Linked DNA regions of Drosophila melanogaster. The protein of the gene in region 1 interacts with the protein of each later gene in a biochemical or structural test. Each region holds a gene or a part of one and is shown in the gene's direction. Other genes may lie near its edges. The genes, in order: ss and tgo.

Region 1 (5,128 bases):
CGGGGAAACGACGTCATCGCGAAATTGTCGGACGAGCAAGCAGTCAGCAAAGAAACCCCAGAATAAATATTTATCATATACAGTGGGATTGTGTATATTTTGTATGTATTTTTTTAGTTAATAATGAGAAAATAATTATTAAGCACATTTAAAAAATCCATTCAGTTCTTATATATATTTTGCTATTTTTTACAGTATTAGGTGTAAGGTCATAATATTGGCCCTCAATTTTAAAGATCAATTGATGACTGTACTTTAAAGCGATAATGCAAGAAGAGGAAAGGCAGTGCAAAATAAGAATATTTAGAGGGAGGTGGAATAAGCACCTGCACTGTGCACTTCTCTTACGAAGTGGAAGCGTAAATTGATAAGCTGCAAGCTGGAAAAAGTTGCAACGCACCAAAACTGGTTGCAAGCCCTTCCACTTTGCTACACTTCACTCCACTCCACTCGACTCAGCTCACTTATTAGTGCCACCGATTGACATGCGCTGCCTTCTGTTTTGCTCATTCTTCGGAGTGGATCCTCTTCTGATTCTCCCGATTCTTCTGATCCTGCTGTCTTCGGAGCTGCTGTTGTCCTTAGTTTACGCAGCGAGATTTGAGTGAGACACCAGACTGCTGGAGATTCTAGCTGAGGAAATATTGTTTTCTTCAGCCTTCTGACTTGGCATTGAATAGTTGCACGCAATACAAATACAGTGCCAACAATTTCGTACATGGCTGACGTCACAATAAAAGAAAAATGCTTTTTCGAAATTGAAGGCATTCTACAGTGGTCATTCGATAACAATAATAATGTTTTATTAGAGTGGACGTAAGTAATCAAATTAGGAAACCACACAAATGAACTACAATGGGCTGCATGATTGAAAGGGCTCGAATATTGTGGCTTTCCAGCGCCACCAAGTATGCAACACGTTTTCAAAGGAAAAAGTTCATAACGTAACATTTCGCCAACTTTTAAAAATAAACATAAAATTATTTGGTAAATCACAGTAATCATATTAATTACAAAATGAATAGCTTGTATAGATTGTTATTAAAGTTAATTACAATTACTTATTAAAAACTTCTTTATGAGTGCCAACTGTACCTTTGACGAGTGCATCTCCATCGCCATCTGTGACATGCGGTCAAAGACGGACGCAGCATATGGGCCATGGGATAAAGGGGCCTCGTACACTGTCCAATCGGGTTCTTGGGCACGGACATTTTGCCCGTCTAGGTGTAGGAATATGATTTCTGGTTTTGTGCAGGGCAGCGGTGTGCATTTCGTTCTCCTTGTTCTTTTGCGGTTGTCAGGTGGCACATGTGAATAAATCATTCGCGATAAGCGCGAAGTGAGTGCTCATGTTTATGGCCTTAATGGTTTTGGTCACACCAAATAAAATTTGCATTTCAGTGGCAAAACGAGGTAAAATCCGGCTCAGATAAGTTTGAAATAGGAGAAGAGTATGGCGGATAGATGCCATTGAGCGATAACACTGATAGCTCTTAATTACCGCCTAATTAATTAAGAGATGAGCGATGTGCCCCGAATTTCTATTTCCAGTTGGTAGTGCGCTGGAAAGAGTCGGCGCTACTAGGCTGTCAGTGTAGTATGTGTGTGCGAACACGCCCCCTATAACGAAACTACAGGGTGCGAACGAGATAGCTGCAGCACTTCCAAGACCGACTTGGTTGGTCGCTCCCTTCCAGTCGCACGTATGGCGACGCTGGAACGGTTGGTAGTGGAACATCGTTCGCTCTGTCTCACTCCCACGCGACCGCGTCGCTTGGCGATCGCTCGTTGCCAGGACGACTGGAAGTGGCCCCAAACACGCCGCCCGCGTGTTCCATGGCCAGTGTGTTCCGCCAGGACTGGTTTTTCCATTCGTTTCGTGGCGCCGCTCAGTTCTTGTTGGAATCTCAAAGCGTTTACGTGGCCGCAGCGCAGCAGAGTCACGTTTGAAAGAGTGCGAGTGAGAGATAGCGACTTAGAGCACCGCGCCGAGTGCGAGTGAGAGAGCGCGCTCCATCGCCTTTGTGCCTCGTTTCAAATGCCCGTTTGTCCGTTTTTTTGGCACTGTTGTTCATTCATTCACTCGCTTCTGGCGCTCGCGTGCAGTTGCAGTCGCTGCTCCCTCCTAACGGTTGTTTCGCCGTCGCCAGAATCCCGCTAAAAGGTGCGTGCGTGTTTGTGTGTGCGTGAGTGTCCCCCGAATAAGGCAATACAACAACAATAGAGGCGAAAACAGAAACAAAAGCGAAACGCAGCACGCGATACCCTGTAACTGGAGGTTCTGTAAAGGCTTCGAGGAGTCACGTGTGCGAATTGCAGACCGCCGGCGGTCATTCACTTCTATCTATTTTACTATTCCAACACACCCACGCGCGCGTGTGTGTGTGCGTGCCTGAAAAATGTCACTTTGACAACTCGCCTCTGGTTGCTCTGCCGGCGGATCTGCCTACGTCGACGTCGATCGTGCCGCAAAATGAAAATGATTTGCGTGCCGTTCTTGCGTTAGCGCTTTTGGTTCCGTGCCGATTTTGATTTCCTCTGTTGCATGCGTCGTCATCGCAAACATCGCCCATTGATAAACCAGAGCCCACGAGCAACAACACTACCAACACAAACGGCAAAAGTGCAAGTGAAAAAGCAAAAGTGTTGCCACGAAAGAACCAAAACAATAACCTGCAAATCGCAGCCACTCGAATCAAAACAAAACAACACAAACAACAACTCGTTTTTGAAAGCAATTGAAAAAGGATTGAGGGATTTTTACAGTTTTCTGACTAGAATGTGCCATTCAAATTAATCAACACTATTGGTTGACTCTGATGTTTAATAACTTGCTAACATAATCTGTTATACTTTTTTAGTCCTTTGTGAGAAAAAATTGAAACAAATTTAAATATATTCTTTTTATGAATAATATATTTTCAAAATTTACCAAAATATAATTTTCAAAATAAAGTAAAGCCTTAATATCATATTATACTATTCTACAATGCAAGGCAAAATCAAATCGTATTAGACAACGGCTCCATGACATTGCCAACTTAAACTAATTGGATTTATTTTAGATAAACTGAAATCATTCTCCGTCGGGACTAATTACTTAAAAAATCTATTAGGTTGAACCGAAGTTATCGCCTTAGAAAATCATACAACCCACAATCGAATGAAAAAAAAAATCAAAATTCCCAGCCTTTCTCAATTGCTGAATCACAGTTTCGCATTAAATCCCTCATTTAGCTCTAACCAACTGAAACTACAGTGCAATATACACAAAAAAATAAAAAACAAAAACAAAAGGAGCGCGAGAAATGAAAAAGCAAACAAAATGTAAGCGTGATGATAATTAAAAATAAATACAAAGAAGAAAAAAACGAAATTTACGCGTGGCTACAACTCCGAAACCGAAAACCGCAGCAGGATCTCAGCGGATCTGATCGCACTCAGCTCCTGGCTGTGTCTGTGTGCGAGTCCGTGTGTGTGAGAGTGTGTACCCAGAGCAAGCCAAATCAATAAATAAAAACCAATTACAAAAGGAAAAAAAGCGAAATAAGAAAGCCACGACGAGGAAACAACCTGTACGACAGACGAGCAGAAGGCAGCAGAAGACAACAACGAAATATTGATACGAAAAATAATAAGAGTTAAAATCATTCACGACGGCGACCATAACGAACTCCGCCCTAGCAATGAGCCAGCTGGGCACCGTCTACGCCACCAAGCGAAGGCGACGCAACGGCAAGAGGTGAGTCCAAGCCCCAGTCCAATCCCACAAACCAATACCGATCCGAATCCCAAGATACAGATACGGATACGGATACAGATTCAGATATAAATGCACAGCGGGAGGCGGAATGTTTGTGGAGCGGGTTCTTGGGTGCTCTGTTATTACTGAAAGATTTCAATCAATGCGATTGGCTGCACTTACCACTTACCAGCTTGCCACCTTGTGGCGCCACCCGCTGACGATCCATCAATCTCCGTAGCTACTGGTCTTGAATACCCCAGATTCGATTATTAATGATCCGGTGGCCACTTTGTTGACAAATTGCCATCGCCATTGACTTTTGACTTGGCCCTCGGATGAAATGAAGGGCGGTGAATTCCCCCTTTGCCGCCCGATAGCCTCAAATTGATTTGCATTATGCATGTCGGGGCAGGTTACCGTGAAATTACAGTAGCCAAACAGTTGATGGAGATGATGATGAACGGTCATGCTGATGATGATGACGATGACGGCGGCCCCTCCGGCTGTTCGCTGGGGGAGATCGGAATCTGCCTGTCCCAAGGTGCACATAATTTCTGATAATTTTGTGTACTTAGCTGCTGCAACCGCACAAAGCATAATGTTTTCAATATAAATATATGAGAACTCACGCATTATCATGAGCAGCACTGCTAAATATGCAGAAGGCGAGGAGCGGCAACTGCAGCCCGGCCACGCCCCCTCGCCAAGTGCAGACCACCGATCGCTAATGTTGCGACCCCCATAATCAAGAGCCACTGATCAGCTTCAGCGCCTCAGTCTTGAAAGGGTGCAGAACGGGGCAGCTCAGGTCTGCGTAGATTATCTTCGGAAAAGCGAAGAACCAGGATCTATTTAGGATAAGCACGCAGTTGATAGATTGGTTATCCAACTCATCTAATATGGCGTGTAATGTTCGTCTACTTAGTTGTAGTCGGATTAGTAAACCAGTTATTAACAGTATAGCTCCATTTCAAAGATACTCTACGGGGAATATTTACTATTAACCGCTTAGCTTTAGTATTAAAATTTTACATTAGATGTTTTAAAAGATTTCGATATAGACCTTATAGATAATAATAACTTTATATGTTATTATGATATTATTTCTATTAAAACTTTACCAACTTAAACTGAAACATTTGTTTGTACAAGGCGTTGTGCACTTCAGAGTAAGTTCCTTGTGTGCAATTTAATTCCCCTTCTCCTTGAATTTCGTTTTTATTAAAGTTCCCGACTACGCCGTAAAACTTCAACTTAATACGTTTCACCATCGACAGGCAGTCGCGTAATTCGCTGTTCTTGCTAGTCTGATAAAGAACAAAAAACGACAAAAAAAAAAAACAATTACGCTTTACTGCAGTTGGCTGAAGAAAAAAAAAC
Region 2 (5,765 bases), 7.4 Mb from region 1:
GGGCGTTTCCTAGCCAAGCAACATTTACTCGCAATCAAACCTACTAAAGCTACACATTATACCATACACACAAGTTGTTGCATTTTAAACGCAATTGAGCGCAAAGAATATTATATTGGAGAGATAGGCATTATTTTTGCAGACTAAAGATTAGATAGTTTACGCAGCTAGATTAGTGTATGAAACTATCAACTAATTTATCACACGTATGTTTAATTTTTTTGTGATGTTATAAGTAAGTGCGCCCCAGAGCCAAAACTATGTATTGTTCAATCCAACAAAGATATCTTCGTTTTTTCAATTTTTTTCAAACCTTGAATCGCCCATTTGTGCGTTGTATACTGAAAAACCAAAGTATTGTATAGGAGTTTATAGTATTTTGAATTTAAATTGGAATTAATTGAAAGTTGTTGCAAATTTACTTAGTTTTTCTCTATGTCTAAATTCCAAACGATGTGCAAAATTAACAAACACAAACTACAAGGATTCTTTATTTGGCGATTAATCATTTTGGTGCTAAATGTTTTGAAAGGCAAAATAAAATTGTTAACGGATTTGAAAAGTTATGTTTAAGCTTGCAGCAACTACGAATGACCTTAATTTGATATGAAATCACAAGAAGCAAATATTGACTACTTTCCAGCAAGGAAATGGATATCGACGCAACTCAAATAAGTTTGCAGCACAAATTAATGAACAAAGATTGATCAGAAAACACTTATGCACGTAAACCAAAATAGAAAACTGCAAGAGCGTGTTTGTTTAAAGTTAATATTAGTCTAGCCCTAAGTACTTAAGTTAATTTCTAGTCAACGAATTATGCTGAAGTTAAATCTAAACCGGACTTCATCCAACAAAGACACCACAAAAAAGACGTATTAAGCACGCTAAGCTATTTTAATGAAGCCGCATTTTAAATTACACTTAAGTAGTGCACGTATTTTAATGGAGACTTAAATATATTTAACTATAAACATAGAACAAAAGACTTGTATGTTGTACCAACAGCTTGAATGAAATATGGAAAATGGAATGCCCATCTAAATAAACCATGCAGTTAGAAAATTGCCAATAATTAATTAACAATACCAAGCAGATTTAACATGAAGGACAAGCAAAGCGGATAAAACTTTACCTAAGATTGTATTAAAACTGAAAAAATGTAATAAGCAAAGAACACAAAGAAATATGCGAAATGGAATAAAGCGCAAGCTTACTATTTTGTTATAAGAATGCATCCGGATAGGAGTAAATGAAGACATGTTATTGCCACTAATAATAAACTTTTAATTTTTTAAAGAATCATAGTTCGTAAAATTACGATACTGCGCCTAGTTATGACTAAACATTTAAATGTATTTATGAAATTATATTTGATATATGTAAGAAAACGCAATGCTGTAATACCATTAAATACTGACAACAATATCAGAAACAATGATGGTTTTATTTATTTTCTGGGAAAAGCGATTTTTTAAATGGACGCCGATCTTGTATGTTTTTGAAAGATAAAAACATTTTCACCACACGACAAGCGGTAAATTGATTTACTTAATTAGCCAACAGATAGCTGGGCCTTAAAAAAGTCAATATTAAATTAAAATTTTATTGTATATTTGTGTTTATTTTTTAGGATGAAAATTTTAAAATGTAACGTTCTAGTTTTATAGTAATGCCACTTGGTCTTGATTCAACGCACCTGTGTTGCCACCTAGCGCATTGTTATCGATTTGCTATACACTGCATCGGCATATTTGTTAGTCCACACTACGGTCACACTTCGCGCAGTAAACAGAGATTTTATCGTGTAGTGTAGAAGAAAAGTACAGAATTAATGGTAAAAGCGCATAAGACCAGCCGAATAAAATTGCCTGGATAAACCAAGTACCTCTGTACACCCCCCATTGGTGAGTAGAAGGGTAAAAAAAGCGAGGGAAATAAGGTTACTGGCCAGCCAGCAAGTGTACACACACAAGCACGACGTAGACAAAATACTAACCCCTACCCCTACCCCGCCCCTCTCTCAATTCCACGAACCTTTTTCCACAGAGCACAGGCGACCCAAATTACGACGAACGTTTTCTAATTACGCATTCCAAGCATGGACGAGGCGAACATACAGGACAAGGAGCGGTTCGCCAGCCGCGAGAACCATTGCGAGATTGAACGACGTCGCCGCAACAAGATGACGGCCTACATCACGGAACTCTCGGACATGGTGCCCACCTGCAGTGCCCTGGCCCGCAAACCGGACAAGCTCACCATTCTCCGCATGGCAGTGGCTCACATGAAGGCACTGCGTGGCACAGGAAATACCAGCAGCGATGGCACTTACAAGCCCTCCTTCCTGACCGACCAGGAGCTTAAGCATCTTATCCTGGAGGCGGCCGATGGTTTCCTGTTCGTGGTATCCTGCGACTCGGGCAGGGTGATCTATGTATCGGATTCGGTGACTCCCGTGCTGAACTACACCCAAAGCGATTGGTATGGCACTAGCCTGTATGAGCACATTCATCCCGATGATCGCGAGAAGATCCGCGAGCAATTATCAACCCAGGAATCGCAGAATGCCGGCCGCATCCTGGATCTAAAGTCGGGAACTGTGAAAAAGGAGGGTCACCAGTCCAGCATGCGTTTGAGCATGGGTGCTCGTCGTGGTTTCATCTGTCGCATGCGGGTGGGCAATGTAAACCCGGAGTCCATGGTCTCGGGGCACTTGAATCGTCTCAAGCAACGAAACTCCCTCGGACCTTCAAGGGATGGCACCAACTACGCCGTGGTTCACTGCACGGGTTATATCAAAAACTGGCCGCCCACCGATATGTTCCCCAACATGCACATGGAGCGCGATGTGGACGACATGAGCTCGCACTGCTGCCTGGTGGCCATCGGCCGTCTGCAGGTCACCTCCACGGCAGCCAACGATATGAGTGGATCGAACAATCAGAGTGAGTTCATCACACGTCATGCGATGGATGGCAAGTTCACGTTTGTGGATCAGCGTGTCCTTAACATATTGGGATATACTCCTACTGAGCTGCTGGGGAAGATCTGCTACGATTTCTTTCATCCCGAGGACCAGAGCCACATGAAGGAGAGCTTTGACCAGGTGCTCAAGCAAAAGGGACAGATGTTCTCGCTTTTGTACAGAGCCAGAGCTAAGAATTCGGAGTACGTTTGGCTCCGCACACAGGCCTATGCCTTTCTGAATCCATATACCGACGAAGTGGAATATATAGTGTGCACCAACAGTTCTGGGAAGACCATGCACGGTGCTCCCCTGGATGCGGCGGCTGCTCATACGCCCGAGCAAGTGCAACAACAACAGCAGCAGGAGCAACACGTTTATGTTCAGGCTGCCCCAGGAGTGGACTATGCGCGCCGCGAGTTAACTCCAGTGGGCAGCGCCACGAATGATGGCATGTACCAGACGCACATGCTGGCCATGCAGGCTCCTACGCCCCAACAGCAGCAGCAACAACAGCAACGGCCAGGATCGGCGCAAACCACACCAGTCGGATATACCTACGACACCACACACTCGCCGTACAGTGCTGGCGGACCATCACCGTTGGCTAAGATACCCAAGTCTGGCACCTCACCCACGCCGGTGGCACCCAACTCCTGGGCAGCACTGCGTCCCCAGCAGCAACAACAGCAGCAGCAGCCCGTGACCGAAGGCTATCAGTATCAGCAGACGAGTCCGGCCAGGTCGCCGAGCGGTCCAACCTATACACAATTGAGTGCCGGAAACGGAAATCGCCAGCAAGCGCAGCCAGGAGCATATCAGGCGGGACCACCACCGCCACCCAATGCGCCGGGAATGTGGGACTGGCAGCAGGCTGGAGGACACCCGCATCCGCCGCACCCAACGGCGCATCCGCACCATCCGCACGCTCATCCCGGTGGACCAGCAGGAGCAGGACAGCCACAGGGTCAGGAGTTCTCAGATATGCTGCAGATGTTGGATCACACGCCGACCACGTTTGAGGATCTGAATATCAATATGTTCAGCACGCCGTTCGAGTAATACCCACACCATTTCTTTCGATTCCCACTCTTCCCCCGTCCCGCAACTTAATCTGTGTCTCTCTTAACCACTTCTCAAGTGCAATCCATCTTACATTGTTGAAATAATTCAGCCAAACGCATGCAAATTGTAATCTCGTAAATAGCATTTTAAGTACATAGGGGTAGTCACGTACACGATTCAGATATCTTTATTTTTGTGTGCTACGTCTTCTTCACTTCCACCTCCCGTATCCATTAGCCCGCCCGCCACCGCCTCCACTTAACCCGCTCATTGGCCGTGCAAAAGTATTTACAATTAAGGCCTTACGATTGTTCGTAACTAAAGGCAATGTGTTTACACCGCTATATAGCCCATGAATTCTAAACTTTCTCATCGATTATATAGGATTAAGTTCATATGTGGACACGCTGTGTGCAGAGTATTCATTTGTATTTGTCATTGAGCATTTTAAAGTTCATACAACGTATAAATATATAAATAATTAAACAATTCGTAGCCTAATATACCACAAATTGATAGTTGTAAGCAACTCAGCAAGTGTACCACTTCCACGCTTTTCCCGCGAACAACATTGACACCATTTCCCATTAATTTTCGCTCATTTTTCGCCAAGGCAATCAGACGTAGACGAGCAAACAATATACGGTCGATATGTACACTTTACATGCTTTATGTGCAGCTTTTCATTTTGTTTTAATTGCATTTTATGCCGCGACAACAAAAACTTCCAAGCTCAATACAGTGGCGCTCAAAATTGAATCGCACTCGCAGAAATGAGACCATTTAATTAATTACGTCAAGTTCAAACATAACATTAGTTAGTTAACCTCACTTCGAGAGAACAAATTCTAAACAACTTTTTAGTCGCTAAGTCCCAACATTTGTAAGTAAGCTCACCACAACGATGATAATGCTTAAAACTTTGGTTATTGAGAATAAAAATTTTGGTTTTTACTGAAAATAAACTTAATGTACTACAAACTATGGAACTTTAGTTACTGATGAGGTTTATCTTTTGCCCGATTTCATCTAGCTGCCGCTGCTCTGCGGGGGAGCTGCCGTACGATTCCTCTTAAAGTCCCTGAATCTGGGTCGCTTGGCGGGCCTCTCTACGGGTGAGCCGTCAGCGGAGGTCCCTCCCATGGTCGTAGCTTCTTTTTCCTGATCCTCATCGTCGCTCTGTTTTGCTTTGATTTGATCTTCCCGCTTCTTACGGGCATTCAGCCAAGACATCATCGTTTTGTTCATCGGTGGCTTTGCGGGCTTAGCCGCCAATTCGATCGGCTTGTTGCACTCCTCGCTTTTGTTTCGCGAGTTGTTTACCAGCTTGGTAACACGATGCCACTGCAGTTCGGTAGCCGGACGCAATGTAGCCAAGGCCTCCTTGTCGCTAACTCGCTTAAAGTCCAGCCAATCCTAGAATATGCGAGGATGGGTAAATTGGACCTGGATTAACGAAGGATTAACAAATGCTTTACTCACATTCATCTGCTGCTCGGTTTCCAGGATCGCTGGCATGCGGTAGTGCATCCAGGACATAATTTTGCTGGACTGGAAGGTGATAATACTGTAGCTGTACATCTTGTCGCCACTTTCATCCTCCCAGACGTCAAAAAGTCCAGCCATTCGCAAAAGCTTCACATCCTGGGGCGACCATGTATTCTTGTCGTAGATCTTCACATCCGCCGCCTGGGGTACGAATACCAGGTAAGCCTCACGCTCCGATGGCTTC

Evidence for each region.
Region 2: the proteins of ss (region 1) and tgo form a complex in vitro, tested with the Drosophila melanogaster proteins (one study listed by BioGRID).

Annotation. Positions count from the first base shown.
Region 1 is NT_033777.3:16,400,457-16,405,584, reverse strand, and holds the start of ss (spineless), read left to right. Parts: upstream 1-1,894; 5' UTR 1,895-2,167; exon of another isoform or gene 2,168-2,189; intron 2,190-3,240; 5' UTR 3,241-3,689; coding exon 3,690-3,745; intron 3,746-5,128.
Region 2 is NT_033777.3:9,016,019-9,021,783, reverse strand, and holds tgo (tango), read left to right. Parts: upstream 1-1,761; 5' UTR 1,762-1,907; intron 1,908-2,049; 5' UTR 2,050-2,101; coding exon 2,102-4,030; 3' UTR 4,031-5,011; downstream 5,012-5,765. Other genes in the region: CG11986 (uncharacterized protein), read right to left, coding at 5,063-5,449, 5,516-5,765. UniProt on the Drosophila melanogaster protein: Heterodimers of tgo/trh are involved in the control of breathless expression. Plays a role in the cellular or tissue response to oxygen deprivation.